Linked DNA regions of Tamandua tetradactyla. The protein of the gene in region 4 interacts with the protein of the main gene of each other region in a biochemical or structural test. Links are inferred from orthologs where the notes say so. Each region holds a gene or a part of one and is shown on either strand. Other genes may lie near its edges. The genes, in order: SNCA, CCND1, gamma-crystallin F and CRYAB.

Evidence for each region.
Region 1: the proteins of CRYAB (region 4) and SNCA form a complex in vitro, tested with the Homo sapiens proteins (4 studies listed by BioGRID, with this or other methods). The link is inferred for Tamandua tetradactyla from reciprocal best matches to the Homo sapiens genes CRYAB and SNCA.
Region 2: of the proteins of CRYAB (region 4) and CCND1, one has a biochemical effect on the other in vitro, tested with the Homo sapiens proteins (2 studies listed by BioGRID, with this or other methods). The link is inferred for Tamandua tetradactyla from reciprocal best matches to the Homo sapiens genes CRYAB and CCND1.
Region 3: the proteins of CRYAB (region 4) and gamma-crystallin F form a complex in vitro, tested with the Homo sapiens proteins (3 studies listed by BioGRID). The link is inferred for Tamandua tetradactyla from reciprocal best matches to the Homo sapiens genes CRYAB and CRYGD.

The regions. Positions count from the first base shown.
Region 1 is NC_135350.1:36,700,802-36,707,901, forward strand, and holds the start of SNCA (alpha-synuclein), read left to right. Parts: upstream 1-4,085; 5' UTR 4,086-4,216; intron 4,217-5,296; exon of another isoform or gene 5,297-5,444; intron 5,445-5,692; 5' UTR 5,693-5,717; coding exon 5,718-5,838; intron 5,839-7,100. UniProt on the Homo sapiens protein: Neuronal protein that plays several roles in synaptic activity such as regulation of synaptic vesicle trafficking and subsequent neurotransmitter release.
Region 2 is NC_135335.1:4,930,166-4,937,517, reverse strand, and holds the start of CCND1 (G1/S-specific cyclin-D1), read left to right. Parts: upstream 1-4,334; 5' UTR 4,335-4,568; coding exon 4,569-4,766; intron 4,767-6,335; coding exon 6,336-6,551; intron 6,552-7,127; coding exon 7,128-7,287; intron 7,288-7,352. UniProt on the Homo sapiens protein: Regulatory component of the cyclin D1-CDK4 (DC) complex that phosphorylates and inhibits members of the retinoblastoma (RB) protein family including RB1 and regulates the cell-cycle during G(1)/S transition.
Region 3 is NC_135329.1:183,592,221-183,599,552, reverse strand, and holds gamma-crystallin F, read left to right. Parts: upstream 1-4,324; coding exon 4,325-4,333; intron 4,334-4,414; coding exon 4,415-4,657; intron 4,658-6,607; coding exon 6,608-6,880; downstream 6,881-7,332. UniProt on the Homo sapiens protein: Crystallins are the dominant structural components of the vertebrate eye lens.
Region 4 is NC_135334.1:29,334,038-29,341,765, forward strand, and holds the start of CRYAB (alpha-crystallin B chain), read left to right. Parts: upstream 1-4,710; 5' UTR 4,711-4,789; intron 4,790-4,998; coding exon of another isoform or gene 4,999-5,092; exon of another isoform or gene 5,093-5,209; intron 5,210-5,538; exon of another isoform or gene 5,539-5,795; intron 5,796-5,909; exon of another isoform or gene 5,910-5,977; 5' UTR 5,978-6,176; coding exon 6,177-6,377; intron 6,378-7,465; coding exon 7,466-7,588; intron 7,589-7,728. Other genes in the region: C8H11orf52 (uncharacterized protein C11orf52 homolog), read right to left, coding at 526-614; HSPB2 (heat shock protein beta-2), read right to left, coding at 4,050-4,504, 4,999-5,092. UniProt on the Homo sapiens protein: May contribute to the transparency and refractive index of the lens. Has chaperone-like activity, preventing aggregation of various proteins under a wide range of stress conditions.

The DNA.
Region 1 (7,100 bases), on a different chromosome or scaffold from region 4:
GCTGGGGATCTCAACTCTGCCACATGAGAGCTGGGTGATCTCAGCCTCAAAGTTACATAATAAAACTTAACTTAGTCCTCTGTTATGATTGAATGATACAGTGTGTTAGTCTTTTGCAAAGCAAAAAGTACCATATGAAGGCATGGAATCATCTTATTTATAAAAATGCACACACAAAAAACCACCCCAAAATAATTCTACCAGTGGTCTGATATAGGCCCTAAAATACTTATCATTTTAGTCACTCCTTGACTTAATATATCAGTTCTCAGTATGTGTCCCTGATAAACTATAAATATGTCATATGAAATCATATATAAAATAAGTATCATAATAATTTATCATGGTAGGTAGCTATGTTGAGTCACAGTGGAAAATGTTTATTGTTGGCAGGGGAGGTCCCACAAATGTGAAATTGACTATGAATGGTCTTGCATGCTTTTGGTGAGGGGTGTCTTCTTGCAGGACTTGGGAAAGCAGAGAACAGAAAGGGGGCACCAGTTTATTGTGTTACTAAGATTGGCAATTGCTGACAGGGTAATTTTTCTATTCTACCATTCTACATGCATATCCACATGCTGCATTTAAGGTTCACAGAGCTTAGTTGAAAATAAGATTTAGGATTTATACTTCAGAAAAGAAAAGACACTTTTCAAAACGATTCTTTACAAGAGGGTGATTGATTTTAATCTAGATTTTCTATCCCTTTATTACTTGATCTGTTTTTTTCTAAGTGAGAGAGAATAAGGCTAAGTCAAACAATGTTCTGGTCAATTACAGTCATGATTTAACTCTGGCATAAGAAGATAGAGCCAGTGTGTTGCAAGTGAGCATCCACTAAGACCCCTCAGAATCATCACAAAGCTAATGATCTGGCCTTAAAGGATTAATTTGGGGTGTTCTGATTCACCCATCCTTCTCAGCTCTCCTCTGGAGCTCTATGTCTGGCATCTGACAACTTTCAGGGCTGTCTGAATTCATCTGCTTGTGTCTTAATGGAAGATACTATCTCCTTCTCCATCTCCTCCCCACCTCACCTTCAGCAACTTAAATATGATATTCCCACACTTTTATTATTCTTTCCTTCCCCATTTTATTCTTATGTTTTATTACAGAGATCCATTCTCATATCTGATTCAAATTGGTATTTGCTACAATAGTACATTGTTTACCTTTGATCTTAGACATCCATGACCAGTAATGACCAAGGGAAAAAGGTTGAAGCTATCACATTCTAAGTCCAATAAGTTGTATACAAGGAAGGAAGGAAGGAAGGAAACAAGGAAGGAAGGAAATTTATTTTTAATTAAAGTCAATCCTAACAGAAATCTGAAATTGAGAATTGGAAGAAACAGTGAAAGAGTATCAAACACCACAATGAGATGTGGGTTACCACTACATTCCATTAAGGTGGCTAAAGGGAAAAAGATTTATAACCCAAATGTTGGGGACCATGTATAGACCAGAACTCTCACACATTTCTGTATGAATGTAAAATGGTACAACTACTTTTGAAAATGACCTGGCAGTTTCTTAAACATACATTTACTGTAGCGATTCCATTCTTATGTATTTACTGAAGATAAATGAAAGCAGGTGTCTGTAGAAAGGCTTGTAAAGAAGCTTCATAGCAACTTTATTCATAATTTCTTCAAACTGGAAACAACCTGAGAGTCCATGAACAGAAGGATGGATTAAAATACTTGGTAATATTAATGCAATAGTGCTTTGCAAAGCATAAATTATCATATAGAGGTGTGGAATCATGCTGTTATGAGACGCACGAAAAGTAACAGCTGCCCCCAAATAACTCTCCCCTTCATCTGCCATGGAGCCTATAAAAATCAACCAGTTCCAGTCATTCCTTTAATTTAAAGCATTAGGTCTCAAGAAGGTCTCTGTTAAAATGTAAACGTGTCATCTCAAATAATTGATGAAATCATTATCTTAATAGTCTCTCAAGAAAAGTCACTGTGAAAATCACTTTTTATTGGCAGTCATAAGGGAAACAATAAAAGGCAAATAAAAGAAACAAATTTCTGAATGAAGTTTGAATGAACCTCACATACATTATGCTGAGGGAAAGATGATAGATACAAAAAAATTATCTTGTATAACCTTTTATGAAATTCTAGACTATACACAACTAAGAAGGGGCAAAGACAACTTTCTGCATCTTCAAAATGGTGTGGATTACACTAATGCAGAGATTTTTCAAAACTGGTTTAAAGGAACACTTAAGGTCTGAGCATTCACTGTATGTAAATTATACTTCAACTTAAAGAAGATCATCAAATGTCATTGTTATTTTTAATAGTTCTTATATTTTATGGAAACATGCTGAAAGATTTACAGGTAAAAAAATTTATATGTAATGCCTGGGATTTGCTAAAAATTGTAAATATCAGGACAGAATGGGTCTGAATTCCACTGAAAACTGTGGGAGTTGTGTAATAGTCTCTACCTGGGGATACAGCTGAACATTTTCCATAATAAAAAAAGGTGAAAAAAAAGGGATTATCTGTGTTCACCTCCTCATTATATAAGAGAGAAAACTAGAAACAGAAGGAGGCAAAACCACCCTTAAGTTCTCAAAGCCTGGTTACAAACTATCTCCCAGGTGCAACCTTCTTTCTCTGTATCCAGGAAATACAAAATATATGTAACTGTTTTTCTTGAAAGGCTGCTTTTAAAAACGGCACACCAATAATAAGCCCTTACGTATTTATGACCTCATACTTACTTTCTTCTCTTCTTTTTTCTACCGAACACGCGTGATTATATATACATATATATATATATAATATTCACACATATCGTTTGCTTTCTGTCCTTTGAGATTTCAAATGATTGTTTCTTGATTGCATTTCGAGAACCCAAACGAGGCAAGGATCAGAGAAATCTTTGTTTCTATAAAAAAAAAAACAGCAAAAACAAACAAAATAATTAAAAACAAAAACAAAACCATATAGCGAAGACTTGTTTTTCCCTTCCAGGGCTGAAATCATCCTCCCAATCCCAGCAAAGGAAAGCAAAGACATTCTGCTGAGGGAGGAGCTTAGTCTACTGTGATCCAAGAACAGCTCCCCCCTCCCACCCCCAGCCCCACCCCCGCCCCAGCTCTAGAGAGGTGAACATGTATTAAGCGATGCAAACATTGTCTTGCGGCGCGCTCGCGTTTGTGTGTGTGTGCACGGGTACGTGTCAGCTCCGACAGCAACAAGGACCAGAAGTCAGAAAGGTGTGTGGTGCATGAAGTCTCATCTTCAGAAGGGACCGAAGAGGAAATTGGATATGATGGTCCAGCAGGGCACACCAGGCAGCTTTTGTTCCCTCCATCCAGATACTTGGGTCTGGAAAGTAAATCCCACTTCAAAAGCGAAAAGCTTGTGATCACTGGTTTTCGACGGCTGGGGAATATTTATTCCTTGTGCCAGTGATGGGAAATTCAGCGTCTGGCAGCCTCTGATTGGTGGAAAAGAAAATGGTGATAGTGGGGTGGGAAGACGATTTGACAAGCTTCCTCCTACCTCAACCTGTAAGTCTTCCTTAGTCTCATCTCCGCTTGAGGGTCCTTTCAGGCTCCTCTGGGGTTGGGAGCAAACGAATATCTGAAGCTATTTGAACAAAAGCAACCGCTGGTCAAACTTAAGCTCTCCGAGGGAAACGTGCTCTCGCAGGTGCAGATATAAGCATCTTTCCTAGGCTGCCTCTCTCCCCAAGAGATTGACTCGGACTTTGGTGTTCTATCCCTTAGGCCCCCGGCTCCCGAGGTTGGATCTGGCGAGTGGGTCCCCAAGAGGAATCTTACAGAAAGGCAGAGACAGGGGAAAAGGGCGAATGGAAAAGAGGGAGAGACATTAGCCAGAGGCCAACCGCTTCGGAGCCTCCCAGTAGTTCCGGTGACCCTGTACTTGGGGTGAATCGCACTACACCCTACCTTTCCGCCTTGCAGGACCAGGCGGGCCGCTTCCAGTTGGAAGGATAACTCCACCTTTCCCCAACCCCCCAACGCACACACAAAATCGAGCCAAGTGCACGAGGCAGGGAAAGCAGCGAGCTCCGGGAGAGGGGCGGGGAGAGGCGCTGACAAATCAGCTGTGGGGGCGGTGAGCCGAGGAGAAAGGGGAGGAAGAAGAGGAGGAGGACCACGCGCCAGAGAAGGGGGTTGGAGAAAGGGGGCGAAGGAGCAAGCGCGGCGACGTAGCAGAGTCAGGTATGTGCTAGCTTTGGAACGGTCCCGGGGGACCGAGCCCCGCCTTTAGCATCCTTCTGGCTCTCTCCCGCCTTCCCTTCCGACCCTCTGCTGTTTGTTTCTGAGCCTCTTGTGCTTGGAACCGGGAGTGGCAATTTGACTACAGGTTCGCGAGTTCGCCTCCCACGCCCCCAGCCTCTTGTCGCTGGGTTGTGCTGACTGCAGCCTACTCTGGGGACCATCCCTCTCCTGGTGCCGCTTGCGCCCTTCCTGTGCGCTCCGTTTCCTCTCTCTTTCCATTTAAATAATATGTGGGAATTGTTTAGCTAGAATAATAATAATAATAAAAATTTAAAAGCAGGGGTTGGAATCAGAGTTCAGGAGAAGTGTAGGGGCTCAGGTAAGTTCCTGTAGCTCTAAACGGGCTGGGAGCTTTAGGAATCCTGGAGAAGACCTGGTGGGAAAGGGGTGACGTTACCGTGGACGCCTGGGACCGGGCTTGGTGCCAAGGTGAGCACCGGCTGTGTCAAGTCTCTGGACCGTGGATGGGTTCTTATTCCTTTGGTGAGCTTGAGGAGAGTAAGTTGACCTGGCTTTCCACATGATTTCCATATTCACCCTTTCTTCCCAAAGGCTGAGAGGTCCGGTCGCTTCCTCGCGGTACACTTCTCCTTTGGGAACCGCGAGGATGCTTGTTGGAGCGTGTGCACCCAACTTTTATTTCTCTTACTTTAAATCCCTCAGTCTGCCCTCTGGGTTTCTCTTGTAAAATAAGCAAGCTGTTTTGGGCGAATAATTAAATGGAAGTGCCGGGAGGGCAAATCAACAGGTGGTAAGGGATTAACAGGTGCGTGTATTGGCCTTCCCAGCCCCAGCCCGCCGGCGGGTTCGCGCTGAGAACGGTCTCTGCCGTGGCGCTCCTGGGTCGTGTGCCCGCGGGTGTGAACGGCGCCTGCTCTGGGCTGATAGCTGACGGTGGGGGTGTATGGTCGGGTAGATTAGAGCGAGCTGTTGGCCTGAGGGTCAACCACACCCAAGTGAGTAGTTCCCTTGCCTTTGCTCCCCAGGATCAATTTGGCAGTCCGCTTCCGACATTCATTTTAAGGATTCCCTCAGGCGCCCAGCTTCCAGCTCCGTTTCTTTTCCTGTGGTCTTCTAAAAGTGCTTGTAACTTAGTCACGGTTTTTTTGAACCCTGGGAAGTTGAAAGAGGGTTATAGCCTTTCATGCAACTCCACTTCGGAAAAGCTGTAAGGGCAGCTCAGATGATTCATCCTAATCCATATTTAGACCCAACTAAGCGAGATGGATAAGGGATGCTAAATATTTAAAGCAAAAGCTAAAGGGCGGTCTTGTCCGATGGTTGAAATGAGTGCACACTTGAAAGTATCTCACACTGTGGGGGAGTTCTGCTAGTTTTTAAGTAGTTTTACCTTTGGAGGTTTGAATTTTGTTTTACCAGGATGTTCTCATTCGAGGTGTATTTTGTTTCCTCTAGTGTGGTGTAAAGGAATTCGTTAGCCATGGATGTATTCATGAAAGGACTTTCAAAGGCCAAGGAGGGAGTGGTGGCTGCTGCTGAAAAAACCAAACAGGGTGTGGCAGAGGCAGCAGGAAAGACCAAAGAGGGGGTTCTCTATGTAGGTAGGTAAGCTCTCAATGCCATTTTAGTATTTATTCATGACCGATGGATTAGGATGATTGATACTGTAAATGCTGAAAGGCTGGTATGCTTTGCTTGATTCATGTTTGCGTCATCACTTGTGAAAAGGATGAACTTAGTCAGGTATGAGTGGGTAGGTAAATGTGTATTTCAGCTACTAGTACAAAATGGAGCTAATCTTTTGCTTTTCCTGATTATTCAACTTCACAATAATATTGAAGGTTTTTTGTTTCTTTTCTAAGAAATGAATGTTTTTGTGAATAAGTGATTATATTTCAGATGACAGTTTTTAAAACAGCATCTTTAAAAAATCAAGAATATCCTTAAGAAACAAAATGATTTATTTTTGACTTATCCTCATGATTAATCTTCCTTCAATTTTTGTATTATTTTGATATTAAAATATGACTTTACTATGGCCTCAGATAGGTGAAAAAGAGACCTACTATCACCTCAAAATAGAAAGGACAGATTAGTCTCTCATGAAGTTTCCCTTTGTAACCATTTGGTAGACTGGAAATTAAGAACCTAAGAAAATACTTGAGTGTTATTATTAATATCTCTGAAACATAAATATATTTTATTTCTCAATTGACATATAATAATAAGGTTGATCCTTATCACCTCTGCTTGTTCCTAATTCCCACAGTGGAGTTTTCACCCAGACCAGAACCCTCATTTATATATAACTAGGAGTGTATTAGGTTGAGTCTTATTTTATAAACCACTTGAAGTTCTTTTGGGAAAGAGTGATATACGAGGCATTCACACACTCACACTCACACACACACACACACACACACACACACACTGCCCATTCTTCCTCTCCTCTTAACACTCTGCTCCTGTGAACTTTTCCACATTCTTCAGTGGCAGTTAGGACAGCTTTAGCCACAGGATGAGCCATAAAGTAGAGGATGAATTTACTGAAATTTATATCAGATTTTTTTTTCTTATTGTTGCTCATAGACTCCTTTCTATGAAAAATTACTTTTTATTCCTCTACTTTAAGATATATTTTCAGGAAATCATTGCAATAAGGAGTGTTACATGAGAAAAAACCTTGAATGAGTTTAAGTGTTTTGTGAAGTGTGAACTACATAACTTTAGGTGAAATTTGCAATACTGAATAAATGACACACAGATTATAGGTACCTTTACATTTGCCATAAATTGCCCAACTTGTGCAAGTGCACTGTAGTAATTTTGGCTTGAGTTACTTTATAACTTTAAAGATTTTCTT
Region 2 (7,352 bases), on a different chromosome or scaffold from region 4:
CAGTGGGTTACAATAGGTTATTACGCCGGCAGCACAACTCTGCTTAGTACGTAAAAGAGCAATCCCTCCGGGCGGGGCGGGGACCGGCTGGGCCCGCAGGCGGGACCTGAGCGTCCGCGGCCCGCACGCATTAGGTTCTCCAGCGCTCGGAAGCCGCGGGTGCGCGCCTTCTCCAAGCCTTACGGTAGGCGCGGCGCGCAGGGCAACCACGTGGCTGGGGAACCGCGGCCGGGCGGGAATGCGCGGAATGCAAGGCGCGTCCCCGCTCGCTCCCAAGCGGGTCAGAGCGGCGCGCGCGCGCTCTCGCCTCCCGCGACACCCTGGCCTGGCCGCCCAGCGCTGGCACCCGACAGACTGAGCCCTGCGTGGGGCCCACGGCAGGTTTTGGGGGCGGAGCGCGGACCGACCGACCCCTCGGGCCCCGCGCGCCCAGGTCCCCCTAGTGGATCCCGGACCCCCGCCCCCGCTGCCAGACCCCGACGGCGCGGGCCGGTGGGAACCCAGGGGAGGGATGCAAGGCCTTAGCTTTGCAACTCCCCTGCCCCCGAGCTTGGGAAAAGAAAGCTCCCTCCACATCCCCGTCCGAGAAGAGTGTCGCAAGCCCCAGAAGCCGGAGGCGCCCCTTATAACGACCCCGGCCGCCCCTCCATCCATCTCAGGGGCCGAGGCAGAGGCTGAAAGCGCTCCGGGGCCAGATCTGGGGCAGGAGGAAGACGGCTGGAAGAGCGCGGGGTGCGGGGCGCGCGCGCCTTGGAGCCGACGTCGGGCTCGGCGCGGGTCCTCCGCCTGGAAAGCCCCGCTGCGGAGTCGCCGCGGCCGCAGGTTTCCGAGACCCCCGCGGGTCCCCGAGCGGCGCCCTGCGCCCCTCGCTTTAAGTGTGGGTGCACCGAGGCCGTTACCCCCACCCCACCAGATTTCTTTGCCTTGGTTGAAGGTGGTTTACTGGGCGCCCACTCCCCGCCCCTTTTGGCCAGGAAAGGCCCAGGGGCCTGAGTCGTGAGCCCCAGGGAGGGGGGCGTTCCTAGTTGGCTTTGGGGTTCTTATCGCTCAGGGTGCCGGGCGTGGAGGGAGGTAGAATTTTCTTTGACCCCCCCAAGAGTTTGCACCTTTTCCCTTGGGATCCCAAAGATGTCGTTGGGCCCCAGACCCCCAGTGTGACCTGCCCAGGTTCGCTTTAACTCGCGCACAACTCGCCCGCGGCCGTTAGAGTTGGGGGAGTGGGGGCGGGTACCCGAGTTGTCCGAGGGGGCGGGAGCTGGTGTGAGACTTAGGCGGAAACGTACCCCCGCAGCTCGAGGCAGTGAGGTGGGGGTGGGGTGCGGTTACCCGGTTCCCAGCGTACGGCTACCCTGTCCCGCAACGTTGAGACGCTCGGGGACCCGCGCCGCGTAGGCCTGGCCGAGCTGTTGCAGCACGTGGCCAACCGCGAGCACCCCAAAGCGAGCAGCTTTGGAGAAGGGGAGCCCGAGCGCCCCCGGAACCTCGCGGCCGGCACTCGGAAGCATTCTACAGCGCTACTTAAGGGCTTAACAATGGAAAACTCGCGGGGCGAGAGCCAAGTCCTTTCAAGTCGCCGCCAGGTATGCGGCTGCAGGTGACCCAACCTGGGTGCGCCCGCCCGCTAGCCCGCCTTCCCGATCCTCCCGGAGGAGGACGAGTGCCCCTCCCATGGGTTCATCACCCCACTCCCCAAAGCCCCCTGTTGAGTCGGTGCGCAGCCGCGGTGCGTCCCAGGGTCGGTCGGGTGGCGCGCCGGTTCCTGAATGAACGCGCTCCCTTCCCCCGCTGAATGGAGGTTCCCACAGCCAGGGACGGTGGCAAACACGTGTCTGCCGCGGAATTCGTCCTCTCGGGGCCGGCAATCCGCCCCAGCAGCAGTCAACGGCGTGGGGGACCCGGGGGCAAGGAGAGCGGGAGGCGACTTAAGTTACTTTTGGATTTTCTTTCAAACCAACCTGGTTACCCTCCCGTTTGGGCCACCGGACCTTTGTCTCCCAAATGGTCACCATGAAATAAGCATGGAGCACTTTAAACAAGTTCAGAGTTCGCAGTTCCTGCTTCGTGGTGGGTTTTAAAAAGACAGTGAGAAGTTGAAACTGCAGGAGAAAAGTTTTTGCAAAGTTACTTTTCTCTCTTCGGAAAAAAAGAAATGAAAATCAAAACGCGCCCTCGGCTCTCCTCTAAGCGATCGCACCCCCCCCAACTCCCACCCCCACCCCCCAGGACTCGGAGCTATTGGTTCCCTCGGGAGACAGGGGGTGCCGCTTAGCAGGGCTCACTGGGATGGAGGCTGGGCGCTTGGCGCTCCCCGCCGAGCCCCAAATTCCAGGGCCTCCCCCGCGTGTTCCTGGACGGCTCTTCACGCTTGCCCGCGGGGCTTGCACTTTTGCGCTGGTCCCTGAGCGGGGACCTCAACGAAGTTGCTGGTCGAGATCTGCCCGGTCCGCCTAGTAACAGCGCCGCGCCCCCATTGGCTCATGCTAATTCCCGTTTCCTCTGCCTTTCTCCCGGCTGGGTAGGGGGGAGCTCCCTGCTGCACCCGGAGCCCGTTTTGCCGGAGTGGGCGATCCTTTTTCTGCGCCGCTACCCGTCGCCGTCGCCGACCGGCCTCGCGCTTCGGGCCCGGCCGGGGCGCACGCGGGGGCTCCAGCCCGCGAGCCCCTGGAGACGGGCGCTGTCCGGCTATAGCGCGCGGCCCCATAAATCACCCGGGCAGCCGCCGGGTCCGGATTTTATGAATGAAAAAGCAGCCTCGCCGCCTTCGTGCGCGGGCCGTGGCTCTGCAGGCTCGGCGGTGCCCGGGGAGGGGGGACGGCGAAGGGTGCGCCGTGCTGAGTCCACCCTCCGCTTTGAAGGCGTGAGCCCGGGTAATTACCCTCCCAGGACCCGACCTAATAGTCACCCTAATTCCCGGATGGGGGGGGAGGGGCGCGGGAGAAATCTGCCCAGCAGGGTGGTATCTGATCTCGCCGCGTGCACCCCTTCATCCGTTTTTTTCTGAGCTTTTACTGCTAGGGATGCAGTGGTTTTACAGCACTCAGCTATATTCAGAGAGAAGTAAATGAACAATTTTCCTAATTTGAGGCACACTGTAAAAACTGTAAAAAAAAAATGAGATGGAGAAATTCTTTTTAAAGGCACCAAAGAGACGGTCTATACTTAATTAAAAGCACTTTGTGTATTTTATTGTGGATTCATCTTTCTTCAGTTTGAGATGATATGGAGGGCCCTATTGTTATAACCGTGGTTTGGTTAAAAAATCATCAATCAATGCACCCACTTTTTAAATTTACAGTTGTCCTGGATTTACCAGCCCCCTGCCGACCACCGCCTCAGGCTCACGAAGGCGGTCCCAGGGCAAATTCTAATGGTGAGGGGCTGTCCACTTGCCCTTCGAACGCAACTAGAAAGTTCCGGTGGTCTCCTGGGTGGAGAGGCGATTGATATTTCCAATTATTTAATTTCTTTTTCAATTAAAAAAAAAAAAGATGAGGCAGGACAGAGACCACTGCTTTGCAACCTTCCATTCAGAGGTACTGATCTCCCTGTTCAAATGCCGGAATTGGGGTAGGCAGGGGGCATTTGGAGACCCCGCGAGGATGGGCTTGTCAAGGTGGGAGAATGCCGCACATAACCCGGCCAGGAGGACACAGGATGAAGGAAATACTGGCCACCATCTTGAGCCGCTGCTGGAATTTTCGGGGATTTATTTTATTTATTTATTTTTTTTGCGTGAGCCCAGGCGAGGCTGAGATAGGTTCCTTTAACTTTTACCGAACCCTCTTAGGCATTTCTATAAGTGCCTCCCGGGGCGCCGGAAAGAAGCCTCAACCCGGGCTTGCGCCCTGCCCGGCGTCCTGGCATGGTAAAGAGTTCCTGAAATTTACACGTGTTAATGAAAATGAAAGAAAATGCAGAAGCGAGATTGCTCAGCCGTCCCTCCGCCCGTGGGTGCCCTCGTGGCGCTCTCCCGGCTCGGTAATAGGGTGTCGCCGAGCCCCAGACCCTCCTCCATGCGGTCTCCCCCGACTGCGTGTGGCCTGCCCGCCCTCCTAGTTGACCCCCTCTGCAGCGCCATCCCCACCCCCCCACCCCCAAATCCCAGGGACCCACATTAGCAGAACGGGCGCCCCCTGCACCCCTCTTGCCCGGCAGGGAGAAAGACGGCCGCGGGGTGATTTGCATTTCTATGAAAACCTGGCTTCGGGGGCAACTCCGCCGCGGGGCAGGCGCGGCGCCTCCGGGATGGCTTTTGGGTTCTAAGCCCGCGCCCCCTCCCCCTGCGCCCGCCCCCGCCCCCTCCCCCTCCCGCTCCCATTCTCTGCCGGGCTTTGATCTCTGCTTAACAACAGTAAACGTCACAGGGACTACAGGGGAGTTTTGTTCGAAATTGCAAAGTCCTGGAGCCTCCAGAGGGCTGTCGGCGCAGTAGCAGCAAGCAGCAGCGTCCGCCGCGCTCCTTGCGAGGGCCAGAAGCCGGCGAGGGAGCGCGGGGCAGGCAGGAGACGCAGCGCGCGCGCCGAGCCCGGAGCCCACCGCGTCCCAGGCCGCCGAGCAGAGCCGGCAGCATGGAACACCAGCTCCTGTGCTGCGAGGTAGAGGCCATCCGCCGGGCGTATCCCGATGCCAACCTCCTCACCGACCGAGTGCTGCAGGCCATGCTTAAGGCCGAGGAGACCTGCGCGCCCTCCGTGTCCTACTTCAAGTGCGTGCAGAAGGAGGTCCTGCCGTCGATGCGCAAGATCGTGGCCACCTGGATGCTGGAGGTGCGTGGCTGCTGCGAGGGGAGGCCCATTTGAGACTCCTCAGCAACGTGTTGCCCAGATTTCTTTGCCCCTCGTCTGTTCGCCCCACTGTCCCACCCCGGCTTTGAAGTTTGCCGGGGTGTTGTCAGCAGTCGGTAATTTCCAAATAAATCGACAGCGTGGGTAGTTTTTGAACGAGGAAGAAATGGGGGTGGGGGCGTTAGAAGTTCCCTTTCCTCCCGGAGGGGGGTCGGGCGAAGGGTGCCTTCCGGGGGAGTCAGTGCCCGGGGCACCCCAGTGAGCCCGAGGGTGCGGGTGGGCAGGCCGGGCGCCTTTTGTGCCCCCCTCCTGGGCTGCCACCGCGCAGCCCCAGCCTGCGCCCGACTTTTCCTGCGCCGCCTCTCTCGGCCGCTTCGGTCCCGAGCCACCGGCTCAGGGAAAAGGGGGTATAGATTTGATTTTTAAATTAATATCCATGTACACGTATGCAAGGGCCGCCCGTGCCAGTATTATGCGCCATCTTTGTTCTTTTATTGCAAAGCAAAAGTGTTTATTAATAATTGGGGGGAAGGTGGGGGCGGGGAGCGGCCGGCAAGGCGCTGGGGCCGCCGCGAGGGGCCGCGCGGTCCGCGGAAGGGGTGCGGGGACGGGTCGCTGGCAGCTTTGGGGGGGACCCCGCTCGGGAAGGGGGCCCCTTTTGTTCAGGCGGCGAGCCCCGGGGCGCCCCGCAAGGCCAGCCTGGGCCGGAGAGCACGCCGGGCTGCAAGGTCGCGTGGCCCCTAAGATGCCCGGTATTGACCCCCGTCTGTCTGGGTGTCGGCTTGGGGGTGCTGCCCAGAGCGAGCCGGGGACCTGGGGCACATTTTCAGGCCTCCTGGGGACGCCTAGGGGGCCGCTAGTATTTTTAAATAATTTTTGAAAGTGCGGTGTGCTGCCCTCGCGAGAGAGAAGCGGAGCCCGCGCCTAGGGGGAGGGGGGCCCCCGAGTTTGAATTCCTGGGGCTCTCTGTGGAGCCTGCGACGAGCTCCCGAAGCCTGGACTGGGTAAAGGACCGCCTGAGGGTCATTTTCAGGGGGGTTTTATGTGGCCAGTTTTTTTTTATATATTTTTAAATATTTTTTGAAAAGATGACGTCTGGGGAAATGCGGCGCGGCGGCCTGGGACGCCACCTTTGTGTCTCGCGGGCGCGGAGAGCACGGCGCCCAGCTCTACGGCCCAGCACCCCATTTAGTGGCGGACCCCAGGCCAGGCGCGCTCCCGGACCCCCACGCGGGCCGGGGTCCCCGGGGCCGGGCACACCGCACCACCGCGCGCGCCGCAGCCCTGCCCGCTCGTGTCCAGACTATGCCAGCCTCGCAGGGACTTTCCCTTTCAGTTTCGGGGTGGGTGTGTGGGTGCCCGGGGCACGCCGGGGAGGGGGCGCATCATGGGGAGCTCCTGCCACCCCCTGCCCCGGCTCTCTCGGCGCGCGGGAACCGGCCGGCCTGGGCGAGCGGGGTGGGGGTGCAGGGTGGCGGTAAAGGGGTCCTGCGCGTCCCGGCGGCGGCAATCACGGACTCTCCCCCACCCGCCACCCCGATACCCCGGCAGGTCTGCGAGGAGCAGAAGTGCGAGGAGGAGGTCTTCCCTTTGGCCATGAACTATCTGGATCGCTTCCTGTCGCTGGAGCCCGTGAAGAAGAGCCGCCTGCAGCTGCTGGGAGCCACCTGCATGTTCGTAGCTTCCAAAATGAAGGAGACCATCCCCCTGACGGCCGAGAAGCTGTGCATCTACACTGACAACTCCATCCGGCCAGACGAGCTGCTGGTACCCGTGGGGTCCCCCACCCACTCACCCACCCACAGCCACCCCGTGAACTGCAGGCGGCAGGGGTCCCCCGCCCGGCACTGACAGGCCGTATTCCCCGAAGGAGGGCAGCCACACTGTCCCGGAGCTGCGCTTGGAGGAGGAGGAGGAGGAGGAGGCGGTGGGGCCCCAGGCGCCCCGAGTCTTCGCCACCCCCACCCCCACCCCCACCCGCACCACACTTTCCCTGCGGCCCACTTTAGCGCCCCGCGGCGTGGCCGGTAAATGGGCGGCGCGCGCCCTCTTGCGGTGGCGGCGTGCGCTGGCCGCCCGCTAATGAATCAGGACTTTTCCTTCCAGATGGTGGGAGGTCTTTTTGTCTCCACTTGCAAATAGTTGGCTTAATGGGAATGCGAACAGGAGCCGTTTCACGCGGCACCTTCTCTGTTTTGACCTGAGCCTTGCCCCCACTTCCCAGATCCCTCGACACCCCACCCCCACCCCCAGGGCTGCCCCCCAAACCAGGGTGCTGGCTGGGACCCTCGGCTGACCGTTGCGCCCCTTTCTGCCTTGCTCCCCTCCACCCCGCGTGCCCAGCAAATGGAGCTGCTCCTGGTGAACAAGCTCAAGTGGAACCTGGCCGCGATGACCCCGCACGATTTCATTGAACACTTCCTCTCCAAAATGCCCGCGGCCGAGGAGAACAAACAGATCATTCGCAAACACGCCCAGACGTTCGTCGCTCTGTGTGCCACAGGTAGGGGCGGGCTAGCGCCCACCGTGTGCTCCCCGGAGGGTCCTCAGGCAGAGTTGCCGGTCGCC
Region 3 (7,332 bases), on a different chromosome or scaffold from region 4:
TCATTACTTCATGAACTAGAAAGGGATATCCATGTATTCCTGATATTCTCACCTCCAGGTTATTCTGTTTGAAATCTCTCAGCTATTGAAACTTTATTGTGTCTCATTTCTCTCTTCCCCCTTTTGATCAAGAAGGCTTTCTTATTCCCTTGATGCTGGGTCCCAGCTCATCCCCAGGAGTCATGTCCCATGTTGCCAGGGAGATTTACACCCCTGGGAGTCATGTCCCAGTTAGAGGGGAGGGCAGAGAGTGAAGCCACATCTGAGCAACAAAAGAGGTTCCCTGGGAGGTGATCCTAGGCATAATTATCAGTAAGAATAAGCTTTGCAGGAATAAGCTTCATAGGGATCAGCCCCAAGACCAAGGGTTCAGCTTGTTGAATTGGTTGTCCCCACTGCTTGTGAGAATATCAGGAATTTCCCAGATGGGGAAGTTGAATATATCTTCCTTTCTTCCCAGTCCCCCAAGCGGACTTTGCACATACATGTTTATTTTCTGTGCAAATTACTCTGGGATATTCTGGGACATCATACTAACCTGTACACACCAAAAAGATCTCACTCCCTATTCAAGATTCCATATACTTTATGGTGTTCAAGTAAACTGACCATACAAGTTAAATTAGATAATGTGTTACCCAAAATATAAATTTTGCACCAAATAAACATCTTTTCCTTTTATCTCACCCAGAGGGTGAAGTATGAAAATATGGGCCATATCATCCTTTACCCAGTATTCAAATTTACCTTAGTCCTATCCAGATCAGCTTCATTCATATCTCTAGATGAAGTCTGATCACTTTTTCAGCTTTTTAAACAGTTGCTGAATGGGGTAATGCTGATTTTCATAGCTTCAGTGCTCTGACTTCGAGTCTCAGGTGACAGGACCCACTTTTTATAAGGGATTCTAAGCCTGGGCACCATGATGGGCTTCAGAATATTTGCAAATCTCCTAAAATTATATGCAAAAGTTGAGTTCACAGATTTCTAGTCAAATCCTTGGCCACTGAGGTGACCATGCAACATTCTTCTAGCCACTGAAACATAAATGTAAGAATGCTGGTCAGGGAGGGGCAAGGGATAATTCTGGAAAAGCTTTACCTTCCTGAGGAAGAGGAAACAGCTGCCCCTGATTCCACAATTGCTGATTATTTCAGCCATCTTGCAACCAGGAGGTGACCAATATGAGGGAAAGACCATGAGAATTTCAGAGTACCAAAGAAAAAGAAAAAAGATAGAAAAAAAACCGGGTAGGCCACGGTGGCTCAGCAGGTAAGAATGCTTGCCTGCCAAGCCCGAGGACCCGGGTTCGACTTCCGGTGCCTACCCATGTAAAAAAAAAAAAAGAAAAGAAAAAGAATTTCAGAGTACCAGGAGTAAAAGAAACCCATTACTGTTTAATTCACTATAATTGAATGTTATGTTATTTGAAGCTCAATACATTTATGGTTGCTATACACTATATATGCATTTTTCTAGGAAGACTGTCAGAACTTTAAATGGAGACTTAAAGGGTTCCCTGATGCAAAAATGGAGGAAAAAAAAATTGAACAGTGAAACCATAACATGTTTTAGGCCTGGAGATCATGTAGTGCAGATAACTCATTTTATGGAGGTAAACCTGAGGTTCAATTCTAATGTCATACAGTCAATAATAGAGGTGGCAGTAGAATCCAGGACTCATCGCTCCCAAATCACTGATTTTCCATTATGGAATTAGGGAGATTCTTGTTAAAGTAATGACAGTTCTACCTTACAGATTCTTTGATGCAATTTTATTAAGGTACATTCACACACTATACAATCCATCCAAAGTATACAATAAATGGCTCACAGTATCGTCACATAGTTGTGCACACATCACCATAATCAATTTTAGAACATTTTCATTACTCCAGAGAAGAAATAAGAATAAAAAGGAAACCCAAAACATCCCTTACCTCTTATCCTCTTATACTACTGACCCCTAGTATTGATGTGGTACGTCTGTCACTGTTGAAAGAATATTACCGTTAACTATTGCACATAGTTTGCAATAGATACATTTTCCTCATACACCCCTGTATTATTAACTCCTCGTAATAGTGTTGTACATTTGTTTTAGTTGATGAGAGAAATTTTTATATTTGTACAGTTAATTACAGTCATTGTCCACCACAGGATATACTGTGTTATACATTCCCATGTTTTAACCTCCAGCTTTCCTTCTGGTGACATACATGACTCTTCCCTTTCCACTACATTCACCCACAATTCATTACTGTTAATTATACTCACAATAACATGCTATCATCACCTCTATCCATTTCCAAACATTAAGTTCGATCTAGTTAAAATTTCTGCACATATTAAGCAACCATTCCCCAATCTCTAGCCTCATTCTATATTCTAGATTTTATGTCTATGAGTTTACCTATTATAATTAGTTCATATTAGTGAGATCATACAAAATTTGTCCTTTTGTGTCTGGCATAATGTCCTCAAGGTTCATCTATATTTTCACGTTTCAGAATTTCATTCTTTCTTATAGCTGAATATTCCAGCATATGTATATACCAACTTTTGTTTATCCATTCATCTGTTGATAGACAGTTGGATTGTTTCCATCTTTGGGCAATTGTGCATAATGTCGCTATGAACATCATTGAGCGAATGTCTGTTCATATCCCTGCTTTCAGCCCTTCTGGGTCTATACCAAGTAGCCTGCAGATTTTTACTATGAAGCAATTTCAAACAACCAACCAGGAATTGAATGAAATATATCGGATAATTCAAAGCTGCATTTTCTCTCTTGCTCATTCTCTCTGTATGCGCATGTGTATACATACACACACACACTTATTTCTGAATGGTTTGTTTTTATATGAGACTATGGTTTAATTATTTTTCTTTTTTACTTCTCTATAGTTTCCAAAATTTCTATAGAAGTTAGAGTTCTTACAAGCAAGAGTTGTGACTGAGGCTTATTAAACTTTTATGGATCAGATGAAATTTGTTCAGAGAAAGCTATTTTTAAGTTATTAGGTTTGTGTAGCAGGAATCCAAACCAAAGAATGAGATAGGGAGTCTCAAGGTTGTATCTAGTTGAGGGTTAGCTTCTTTTAAAGCAGTTTTTAATGAAGGACATTTCTTCTTCACTCTCCAGGGGACATATGGCAATGTCTGGAGACATTTTTGATTGTCACTACTGGGTGGGGGTGGGGGTGCTCTAACGTTATGTAGTGGAACAGAGACCAAGGATGCTGCTAAACAGCCTATGGTGCACAGGACAACCCAACAGAGAATTTCTTGACCCAAAATTTCAAAATCTTACCATAGTTGAGAAAGCCTGCTACTAAAAGGAGTGGAAAAAGCACCAAGAGCTGCTGGGAGGATCTTTGGGGGAGAAAAGAAGTTCCAGTCCCTGGAGCTGGGTGGAGCCTTAGCAATCGAGGCTTATCCCAGAGATCGTGAAGGGAGAAAAGGTAGAAGTTTTACACGATTGTGGGATTTGGAATTTTGTTATATTCACACTTTTACTTGAATCTTTCAGTAGCCAAAGCAACTAAACTTAGCATTTAGCAAAAATATTAAGCAGAAAGTTACAAGTGTCAGTAAGAATTGTGAATGAGTCACTTCATATATTCCAAAGTTGAGGATATCATTGGCTGTGCGGTGGAAGTATCTAAGGCCAGGCCCCTCAATCTCCTGATGTCAGAATAAACAGGGCTTCCTCCAGATCCAACCACCTTCTCTTCCTTCTGCAGGTGTTACTGAGGAAGCAGCTTGCTGATATGCAGGTAGGGTCATCGAGAGGTTCTCTCGAAAGAGAAAATCTCATCCTACATTAAACGAAAAGGCAAGTTCATTCCAATGTTCTAAATTTTGACACATACCCCCAAAAGTTTTGTAATTGAAATGCCTTATGCTTCAGCCCATTTTGACCTCAGACTTGCCAAATGTGAGTTATTCTAAAAACATTATTTTGAAATTTAAAAAGCTAAGTAAAATATTTAATTACAATCATCAACTTGGTTAAGCGCCTTTGTTAAATCCCAATTTCCCAAATAAGCTTCCCAAAAAGGCCTGAACAGCACCAAGAGAAGGTTTTAACCAGGGTCATCAATTCGAAAGCTCTGGAAAGTCTAAGAGGACACGTACAATATAACCCCCACAGTCATTAAATAGAAAGAAAGAAAAAAAAGGAGAGAAAGAGAAAAATCCCGTTCTCACTCCCGCAGGCCCCTTTTGTGTTTTTCTTGCCAACGCAGCAGGCGCCCTTGCTACATAACCCCGCGCACGGGGATCCGTGTCACACCGAACTCCATCGTCCGCTCAACCAGCCATGGGCAAGGTGAGGCCAGCGTGGGGGCCCCGGGAGCAGCAGGGCCTGGGAGCCAGGCCTCTGAGTCCTCTCCTCCCCTTGTCCTTGCAGATCACCTTCTACGAGGACCGGGGCTTCCAGGGCCGCGCCTACGAGTGCAGCAGCGACCACTCCAACCTGCAGCCCTGCTTCAGCCGCTGCAACTCCATCCGAGTGGACAGCGGCTGCTGGATGCTCTACGAGCTCCCCAACTTCTCGGGCTGCCAGTACTTCCTGCGCCGCGGCGAGTACCCCGACTACCAACAGTGGATGGGCCTCAGCGACTCCATCCGCTCCTGCCGCCTCATCCCCCACGTGAGTCCAGCTCCACCCGGGTCTTTCTGTGCTGTCGAGTCACGCCAGCTCTCCAGATGTGTTAGTCATACCACAAGCGGCAGGATGGTAGATCTTTTTCTGGCTCCTACTGTATTCTCTTGTCCTTTATTAACATCTCCAGGGTTTCTCCTCCACTGAAAAAAATATTTACTTTGCTAAAATTAAATTGACTTCTACTGGGAATAAACAGTGCAGGGTATATTAGCTCAGAGTGTCTACGGGGGGCGGATTAATAAACAGGAGATTAACTCCTTACCATCCAGTGGCCTGAAGTTGATTATTTAGGCTTTGTCTCACTTTCCTCAGCTGTAAAGTGGGGCGGATAAGAGTAGCTAATATAGAGAGAGGGTGGTGAGGGGGAGGAGAGGAGAGGGGGAGGAGAGGAGAGTTCCTGGCACCTGGGGAGCCACCCCCTCCCCTAAGTAGTAACTTTGTTATAAGCCTGAAGGTCCTCCGCCTACCTTTTGATTAGACAAAACGAGCAACTAACAATGTGATTCCAGTAACTCCCACAAAGCTCCTGCTACCCAAATAAAGCCCCATCAACCTGATGTTCCCTCTTAGAGATTCTCAAATGGATTCTGAAAACGTCCTATGGAAAATGCACTGCATTTGTGACGATTGGAAACCACTCAGAGGGTTTAATAGTTAATAGGACCCAGACTGGCCATAGGAGCTTAAAAACCCCGGTTTCCAACTGTCAAGTCCTGGCTCTTGTAATTACAGATTGTACACTCTAGTAATGCGTTTACTCATAAAAAAAAATAATAAGACTTATAATGGTTGTTTTGCATATGCTCGACTGTTGTGAAGATCAAATTAGATAATGTTCATGAGACTTCTTTGTAAACCGTGGAACACTGCTCAAATGTGCGATCCCTTATTTGCAGGTTTTTTTATCCCTCAGAATGAATCGCTTGTGAGAACCTTTCCTAAAGAAGGATTTTATAGTATAACAAGGAAGAGATTGAGCCATGAGTACCTACTACGAAAGAACAAAAAGACGAAGAAAAAACAAATGGTCAAAAAAAGAGAGAGAATTTGTTCAGGACAAACAGTTTAGCTTTCTGTTTTTCTTCGTCTTGTGTAGGCCTCCTTCCTGATCTTGCTTATTTTTTTAAAATTACACAAGTATATTTATATTATATTGCCTTTTTTTTTCCTGCTTATTACCTAAAACAGATTTGCTGGAGCATAAATTTGAGCTGAAACTGAAACATTCTTGCTTTTCAGGATTTGAGAGTGGCAGGTTTAAAGAATAAAGGAAGGGATTAAGGGATTGCCTGGGGCAGACTCTCTTCCTGAATTGTCCCCAATCTGTGGCCTCACTTTGTGGAAAGCAATTCAACTTCCTCTCCCCCTGGCTTCCTCTAATGTAACTGAGATTCAAAATGCTTTTTTCGGGGGATCCATTTGTCTTTTTATTTTTATACTTAAATAATTTCATATCATCCAAGTTGAGCTCTAGGTCGCCATGTATTTTTGATGGAAAGAGCAAAACAAAATACATAAAAATCATTATTTAAAAATAATACTGGGGGCAATTGTGGCTCAGTGGCAGAGTTCTCACCTGCCATGCCAGAGACCCAGGTTTGATTCCCAGAGCCTGCCCATGCAAAAAATAATAATAATAATAAAATAATACTGAACAGGGCCAGCACATAGCGTCTATGCAGGTTGTGGCATCAGAAACTCTAGGGTGCACCATTCATATCATGTTAATGATCCCTCGTGAATTGTGCAGTGTACAACCTGCGCAACTATGCATAGCAGCCCTGGTGTTGATGGTCTCTTTCTTTTAAGTCTTTCATTCACCTTTGCTATAGCAAACATAAAGAAATGCTAATTTCCTAGGAAGGTGTGTGATCTGTTGCTAAAATAAGATCGGGTTTTCTGACGTTTCCTCATTTGCCTTTGCGGAACCCACAGACGAGCTCCCACAGGCTCCGTGTCTATGAGAGAGAGGACTACAGAGGCGAGGTGCTGGAGCTCACCGAGGACTGCTCCTCTCTCCAGGACCGCTTCCACTTCAGTGAGCTCCACTCCTTCAACGTGCTGGAAGGCTCCTGGGTCCTCTACGAGATGCCCAGTTACCGGGGACGGCAGTACTTGCTGAGCCCTGGGAACTACAGGCGGTACCACGACTGGGGGGCCGTGACTGCCAGGGTGGGCTCTCTGAGGAGGGTCGTGGATTTCTATTGAAATATTTTTACTCTACCTCTTTCTCTATCGGGAAGCTAATAAAGTATTTCCTGTGTGTTTCATGCAATATGCAGTCCTCTTTTCTGTTCAGGCTTCTTGGCGGACTTAGCGAAAATAAATGTAGAAATAAGATGGGTTTCCTCACACTTATCCCTGGAAAGGGCATTATGGGGTAGGAGTTACCACAGGTTCTAGGTTCCTAGTGCCTGAGTCCAAATCCACTCACCAGCTGTAGGTTGCTGGCCCTTCTGCTTCTGTTTCCGAATTTGTAAAAACAGGGCTAATAGTTTCCACTTTATCGGGTTGTGATATGAATTAAATGAGTGAATATATGTAAAACCTTTATAATAGTACCACGTATGAAATAAATACTTTATAATAAGTATTTGTTACTTAGGTTTTAGTATTGTTGAATATTTGAGACCTTATAAATCAGAACTTTTCCAAGTATC
Region 4 (7,728 bases):
CAGGCAAGAAGTCTACCTGCTGAGCCACCATGGGCCACCCACTTCTGCCCTTTTTAATGAACATTTCTCCAAAGTTGATTTGCTTGATCTGAGAAGCAGTACTATGTAGTGGTTAAAAATCTGGACTCTACAGTCAGACAAGCTTGGGTTGGAATCTGGGTTCACTTAACAAGCCACGTGATCTTGGGCAAGTTATTTCTTTAAGCCTCAGCTTCTCAGCTATAAAATGAAGGGGTGGGATATGACCATTTACCTTTTAGAGTTGTTGTAAAGTGTCTGGCACTTAGTAAACTTTTAAATGCTGCTATTATTACTATTATTATGTTTTCTAAGCTCTCCTGAAAGGAGTGAACATAGTGCCTGTGTGCTGGAACCAGGAGGTGCCAGGCAGAGAAAGGTGACAGAGAACCAGCCCCCGGCTCTTTCTTGCTCATGCATGTAATGAAGGGGGTGGTATTTTCCTCAGTTTGGGACCTCTGTGTCCATCATCAGAGATGTTACCCTCCATTCTTAACCCCTACTCACCATCTTCCCCCACAGCAGATCTGGTTTCCCATGGTGCGCTGTCTCGGAAGGAGCCCAGCTGTTTTCCTACAATATAGAGGCTTTTGCATTTCCTGGTTCCCGGTCTAGCTTTCAGTGGCAGCTCCGGGGGTGGGGGGAGGGGTGGGCGGTGGGGGTGGAGGGTGTCAGATTTCAACCTAGCAGGTTGGACTTCGGAAGCCACCTGCTGGAAGGATTCCCAGGTGGCTCGGTTCCCAACCAAAGGGTGGGGCAACCCAAACCCAGCTTCAGGTGAGAGTTATCCCACTTTAGGGATTTGGAGCTTCTTTGGTGATGCCATAGACTTTGAGCATCAAGCTTCAAGGAAAAGAAACCTGGGATAGAAAGGGGCTCCGAGTTTCCTTTGGAAATACTTCTCTACTACATTTCACTGTCTTTAAATCTTACCTTAGGTTTCCCTAGCACCACCCAGGTTTAATTGAGTTTCTCTGTCAAGGTAATTGGTGCCGGTATCTTATTATTCCTGTCCAGAATCTGGGTTTGAATACGGGAGTGGCTTACCACCTTGAATTTAGGGAAATGGATTCCTTTTATATTCTTCCTGGCTGTCAGAATTAATGTGAGCATATTATCTAAACTTTCAAGGTTTAGGTTCCTAGGACTATGAAATGAAGAGCTGAACTCGTTATTTAATCCCTTTTTTGGTCTAAGATCATGTGATTCTGATGGGATTGGCCTCAGCACTTCTTAACTGCTCACTTCCCCATCCCCAGTATAGAACTACAGAATCTCCACCTAACCCCCAACCCAGCTTCTCCTTCAAAGGATCCAAAATTGAACTCCCTCCACACTTACCAGCAGTGAGGATGCCGTCATGCAAATTCCTCTGCAGAAAACATGGACTCTAGAATTTTTGAAACGCCCAAGGCTTATTTCCAGTGCTCGCACCCCCATCTTTGGTATCTTCTTTAGACGCCCGGTTATTTGTGTGCCCCTTATGGATGATGAGGACTCAGCATTACACTCTACACAGGGCATAGTCTGAACTCAATTCCTATCCATATTCTCCTCTAAAAGTGACAACCTTATAGGATACTAGTGAAGATTAAATGAGATGATGTGTATAAAGCTCTAGATCTCAGGAAATCTTAGGTATTATTATTACTTTTTGTTCTCAGCTTATTGTCAGATGGAAAGCATCTTATTTTATTATCTTGTGCCTGGATCACTAGCCTCTTATCTCCCCTATTGTGTACTCTATTGTGTACTCTGCCATTAACTGTATTCTTTTCATCCTGTTGCCACCTAGGTCAGAAGCCATTAATGGTTTCTACAGGAAAAAGTTCAAACTTCTTAGCCTGGCACTCAGAAGCCCTTCTCAATCTGTTTCCTTTCCAGCCACATCCTCTGTAATATAAAAGAAAGCATCTAAGGTATTTTAGATGACCAGAAACTCCAAAGGAGCTAATACTATGTTGTGGTAGTCAAAACATCTGATACACCTTAACCAGCATGAATAGAAGTCTAGAGATACTAAAAAAGTGCATTGATTATTCCACTGAATTCTGTATCAGTCAGTCCATGACTGGAATAATTTTAGATCTAGATGCTGAATTTCAAGTTGAATTTCAAGTCATCAAAAGACAGTTTGTCAGGGAAGGCTGTCTTTGGCAGTAACTGATATGGAATTTGCCATTAGATAGGATTCTAGGTATATTTATCTGGGAAAAGGGAAACATTAGGAGGACATTAAAGATGGTTATCTTTAAATATCTGAAGAACTTTCAAATAAAAGAAGGATAGTATTTATATTCTCGAAATAACCGGAACAAATGGGCAGAAACTACTGAAATTCAACAGAGGGAAGAATTTGTAATAGATATGTCCCCCCAAATAAAGTGGGTCGCTTTATAAAGGTCTACATTCTCTATCACTCAAAATGTCCCAGCAGAAGCTGACTGAAAACTGAAAAGAATTCAAATGGACTAAATCGGGTTTTCAAAATTTTCCCAGCTAAGGATTCTTTTAAATAAGGAACATGTAAACACCCCAATTATAAGATCAATGCAAAACTGTTCTGGTTGAAGTTTGACTAAGGACCTTTTTTAAAATTGTTTTTCTTCTCAACTAGATGTTAAGATTCCTGAGAATAGACGATAAAAGACCGTATTTTAAAATAATTCATATTTGCAACGTATAACTCACATAGTGTATTTATTACTTGGGGTAATGTAAATATTTGTTGAATGAATGAATTAAAAAAAAGAATCAATAAATAGTTATTTCTCTGAGGCAAACCTTTAATCAATCATTGAATTTCTCAAGTGAGAAGTATATCTGTAAGTATATTCATGAACGCATGAATGGATCTCAAGAGTTCTGTGAACCTATTCAAATTGTAGGTCAAATTTTGAGTATCTGTATTTTTCTGGGAAAAGGGTATGTATTTACAATTTTTGTCAGGTTTTCAAAAGGGTCTGTAACCCAGAGGTTAAGAACCACCACTTTAATGGAAGAATTTCAGGTATCCACCAGAGTTTGGTAAAGGAAAGTTCTTCTAGACACTCCCCAAATCATATCCATGTATGCTCTCTTCATTACAGAGAATTACTGAGGGGTTAGACCCTTAGGATTTCCTGAATACCCAATACCCTTAGTTGTAGGACTCCAAGGAGATATTCCCTGGGAGTCACCACTATCACAGTAATGGCTCTAGATTCCCTACATTTTGACTTGGATTGAATGGGATGATGCAGTGTTGCCTCTCTTTTGAAATGTTCCAAGTTTGGGGACCAAGGCTTTCTCTTATGGGCCTCCTCTGTGCAAAAAGTGGGAAGACCTTAGGATTTGGTGAAATGGTAGAGGCTGTGTGTCTGTGCCCCTGTGTATGTACTGGCAGTCCCTCGGAATCAGAAGCCATTTTTAGTAGACAGATCTTAGTATGGAAAAACAAAGTATTCATCCCAGGGCTTTCCGCAACTCTCTCTAGCCAGTCACTGTTTTCCTAACCCCTGCCCAAAAAGGGCCAGACAGTCTGGAGACCCCTAGTTTTTGTGTCTCTAATCACCAGCTCAGACAGTGCCCTCTGGGCTGTTTGGATGGCATATCCTTTTTCGGTCCCAGGATCACAATCTCTTTTGTTGCATTGTGAGAAAACTGTGGCTAGGAATTTGATCTAGAGCCAGTGCCAGCTTGCGGCTATGATCTCAGCATCCAAGTGTGAGCTCAGGGTGCTGTTGTATTGGGTACATCTATCTGAAGAGCTTTATGTCTAGTTAGCTATAACTTCCTCCCTCCCTGCCCATCCCATCCTTCAGGCTACACAATAGGGAGCAGCACAGACAAGGCCCTGAGATTTGGGTTTATTCAGCTCCACCCAGATCTAAGCCAAAGGCTATGACATGTCCCAAGGGACCACACCATACATTGTGGACAGTGCACCAATCCCTTCCCCCAAGGATGCTGCTACCTCTGGGGTTGTGGGCAGCTGTTCCTATCACCACAGGAGGTAGAAAGGGATCTGCTAGGTGCTGAGTCTGCAGCAATCAGGACTCCACTCTGGCCGCCTCCTCCTCGTCCTCTGGATCAGGAGGCGCAGGGAGCAGGGAGATGTAGACCTCATTGACCTCCGTGTCCAAATGTCTGCCACCCCGAGGTGCCTCCAGGTTAAGGATGCCATCGTGGGATAGAGCAGCCCGGACCCGCCAGGGGTCGACATCAGCAGGCAGGACATAGGTGCGGCAGAACTCTCGTGACACGAAGCCGTGGCGGTCCAGGCGCTGGGGGTGCCGGGCAGACACCTCCAGAAGGTTGTCCACAGTCCTCACGGTCACCTCATCTGGGGTAAAGTGGCTCACATCCAGAAATGCCTGGAACTTGCCCTCACTGAGCCTAAGCTCAGAGGCCCCTGCCCTGCTGCCCTCCCCAGCTCGGCTGGCCCGTGGCCGGACATAATAGCCATGGTAGAGGGTGGGCGTCAGGATCTCTTCTGGCAGGAGGCCTGAGGGGCACAGAGAGAGAAGAGAAGAGTCAGAATGAGGGAGGAGAGGTGGGGATGGGGATGGGGGGTGAATGAGAGGAGACTAGGAGATGAGGAGGGACTGGAGGACCAGAAGAGGAGTTAAATAGGGAGAGGAAGGGAGAGGGACACAGTGAGTAGGTGGAGGAAGAGGAAGTAGCCAGAGAGAGGGGACTGACAAAATAAATGAGATAGGGGTGGGGAGGGCAAACCAAACTAGGACACGGTGGATAGAAGGGGGACAAAGAGAAGATATCAGCGTTGCAGGTATCATGTCTTTTCTGAGGTCAGGAGGAAGGAGAAAGAGCCCTACTGGGGGTGGGGGGAGAGCGGGTAGAGCAGTCTGGGATGGAAGATGGCTCGCCCCAAGAGTTCAGTTAAGCCCTTAGTGGGGTGGAGGCCAGTAAAGTTGGGAGGTCTGCCCAGAATTTCAGTAGGTGGGGGTGGGAGGCAAGGGGGCGGCGTCTGTGCCATACCTTCCCCGAAGCGCTGCTCACTCAGGCGGCTCGGGTTGGCAAATTCGTACTCGGCGGTGGCCGGGTGGGCATGTGGCACCGAGCGACCCGACATGGCTGCAGATGCGTTGGCGGCGCTGGTCGGAGGTGCAGCCCCTCCAGCTGTCTGAAGAGCCAAGGCTCGGTCGGAGGTGGGGGCGGGGTCTACAACACCCAAAATAGTGCCGAGCCTCTGAGGGAGGGACGGGAAGGGGGGCCCTGAGTGGGAGCAACGAGTGTGTGACTAGTGCCTCCCGGACCCCCAGTCCCCTCCCCCCCGCACACCCTTTAGCTGTCGCAGGGTGCCTGAGAGGACAGCTGGGGGTCCTGGCTCAGGAGTGGGCTGGGGGAGGGGAGGACAAGTTGCTGCGTAGCTGAGACCCTCGCCAACAGTCTGCACGTTTTCCACACTACCCATTCTCCTCCCCAGTCGCAGGCACGGTGCGCCGTACTTCAGACAGCACCCCTAGATTTAATGTTTTACGAGGCTTGTAGGTTGAAAGATGCAAGAAACTTTTCTACCTTTTCCGTAGTGTCAGTGCGGGGCTGGGTGTGGGTGTCTTCCTCCCCAGATTAGTATTAGGGTCTTCTCCCGAAACCAGGGCAACCCAGGGCACCATGCAGATGCCTGGCACGGGCATGTTGGTGATCACTGCTCTTCTCCAGGGACCCACAAAGAGTTAATGTCCCTGGGGCTCAGCCTAGGAAGATTCCAGTGCCTGCCCAGGCCCAAGATAGTTGCTGGCCCAATGCCTCTGGCATGTGAGACTGGAGAGGAAAGGAGAGAGGAGGGGCACACCACTGCCTGCCTGACATTCTTGACACTGTCCCAGCTCCAGAGAACAGAATGAGGGGTGGGGAGTGGGGGTGCTGCTGTTAGGTGTGGACAGGAAAGCCAGTGAAACAAGACCAGGACAAGTCACTGGCCAGCTCAGACCTGTTTGTGTTTCTCTTTTCTTAGCTCAGTGAGTATTGGTTATGTGTCACACTGCCAAATCCCCATCACAAGTCTCCATGAACGGGTGGCGAGCTAGGATAATAAAACCCCTGACATCACCATTCCAGAAGCTTCACAAGACTGTGTATATAAAGGGGCTGGCCGTAGCTGAGGCTGAAGGAACGGACCAGCCAGCTGAGTCTTCACACTCAACCTAGTCACCATGGACATCGCCATCCACCATCCCTGGATCCGACGCCCCTTTTTTCCTTTCCACTCCCCCAGCCGCCTCTTCGACCAGTTCTTCGGAGAGCACCTGTTGGAATCAGATCTCTTTCCAACTTCTACTTCTCTGAGCCCCTTCTACCTTCGGCCACCCTCATTTCTGCGGGCACCCAGCTGGATTGATACTGGGCTCTCAGAGGTGAGTCCCCTCTCCCTGCCAGAACAGGAGAGTTCTTCCTAGAATATTCTGGAAACTTCTCCACTTTCCTCTTCCTCCTCTGTGCTTAAACTGGATTATATTTATATCCTAAGTATCCAATAGTAAAGAAAGATGAGGCTACTAACATCTCCCTCCCCCAGTTACCTGTTTCTATATGATGTTCTTCTGCATCCTATTTATTAGTGTACAATCTTTCACAATCTTTATGCATGATAAAAATCATCCTTTGTCCCCTAACTTCTAAGCAGGATGTCTCTTCTCTGGCTTGGTTCATAATGATGTGAAAGGAGAGAGCTGCCTTCAGACTCCTTTGCTGACCTCTTCTAATACCTCATTGTCCTGACTAGGAGAGAGTCCTACCTCGTCTTGAGCTTTTCATGCCCACTGGGTGGAGCTGGAGACAACAGCTATTATTTTCTTCCATTTTATTCTCTCTTCTGTGGTTTTCCTGACTTCTCAAGGGCTGAGGCAGGGCATTGGCCCAGGTCCAAGCCTTATGAGGAAGAGGCCCCCCACTTGTCCTAGGAGGGTCAGAGAAGGATGAACAGATAGGGTTGACAAAAGCTGCCACAGATAATACCTTGGTTTAAAAATAATCAAGTGTGAGTGAACAGGAGCTGAGTGGGCAAGGGCTTTGGAAGGACAAGCAAGACCAGCAGAACATTCCAGATTGAGTGGGTGGGAAACTTGGCAGATTTATGAACAAGAAAAAGGGGCCTTTGTCTCACAAACAAATGACAAGGCCAGGCATTGGGGTCAGAGAGACAGCTGAAACCATGCAGGCCATTCTTGTGACTGATTGTGTTCCCCTGGGTGGCTCTGTCTTCTCCCTTGTCCTGGTAAATAAAGTTTGAGCCTGATGACCAAGTGACCAAGTCGTATGCTTTGAGTACCACTGTGGTGACTCCTTAAGCCAGAAAGCCATGTTTATTTATTAAAAAAGGGATTTTTAGCAGAAAAGAGGCGGTTAAAATAGCCGGACAGAAAGCAATTCTTTAGAATGATGAGACTGCACCAGTCTTTCTACCATCTTTTCCATTATCCCCTCCCCACTTTGCTATTTCTAGATGCGCCTGGAGAAGGACAGGTTCTCTGTCAACCTGGATGTGAAGCACTTCTCCCCAGAGGAACTCAAAGTCAAGGTTCTGGGAGATGTGATTGAGGTGCATGGCAAACATGAAGAGCGCCAGGTATGTAGCTTGTTTTCTCTTCTGCTCATTCATTCAGTGCCTACTATATGCCAGGCAATGCCATCAACCTCTGAGGCTGGCAACATTCCAATCCGAAGCCGTAAGGGTCTAGACCAGGGTCACAAGTCAGTAGCTAGAAG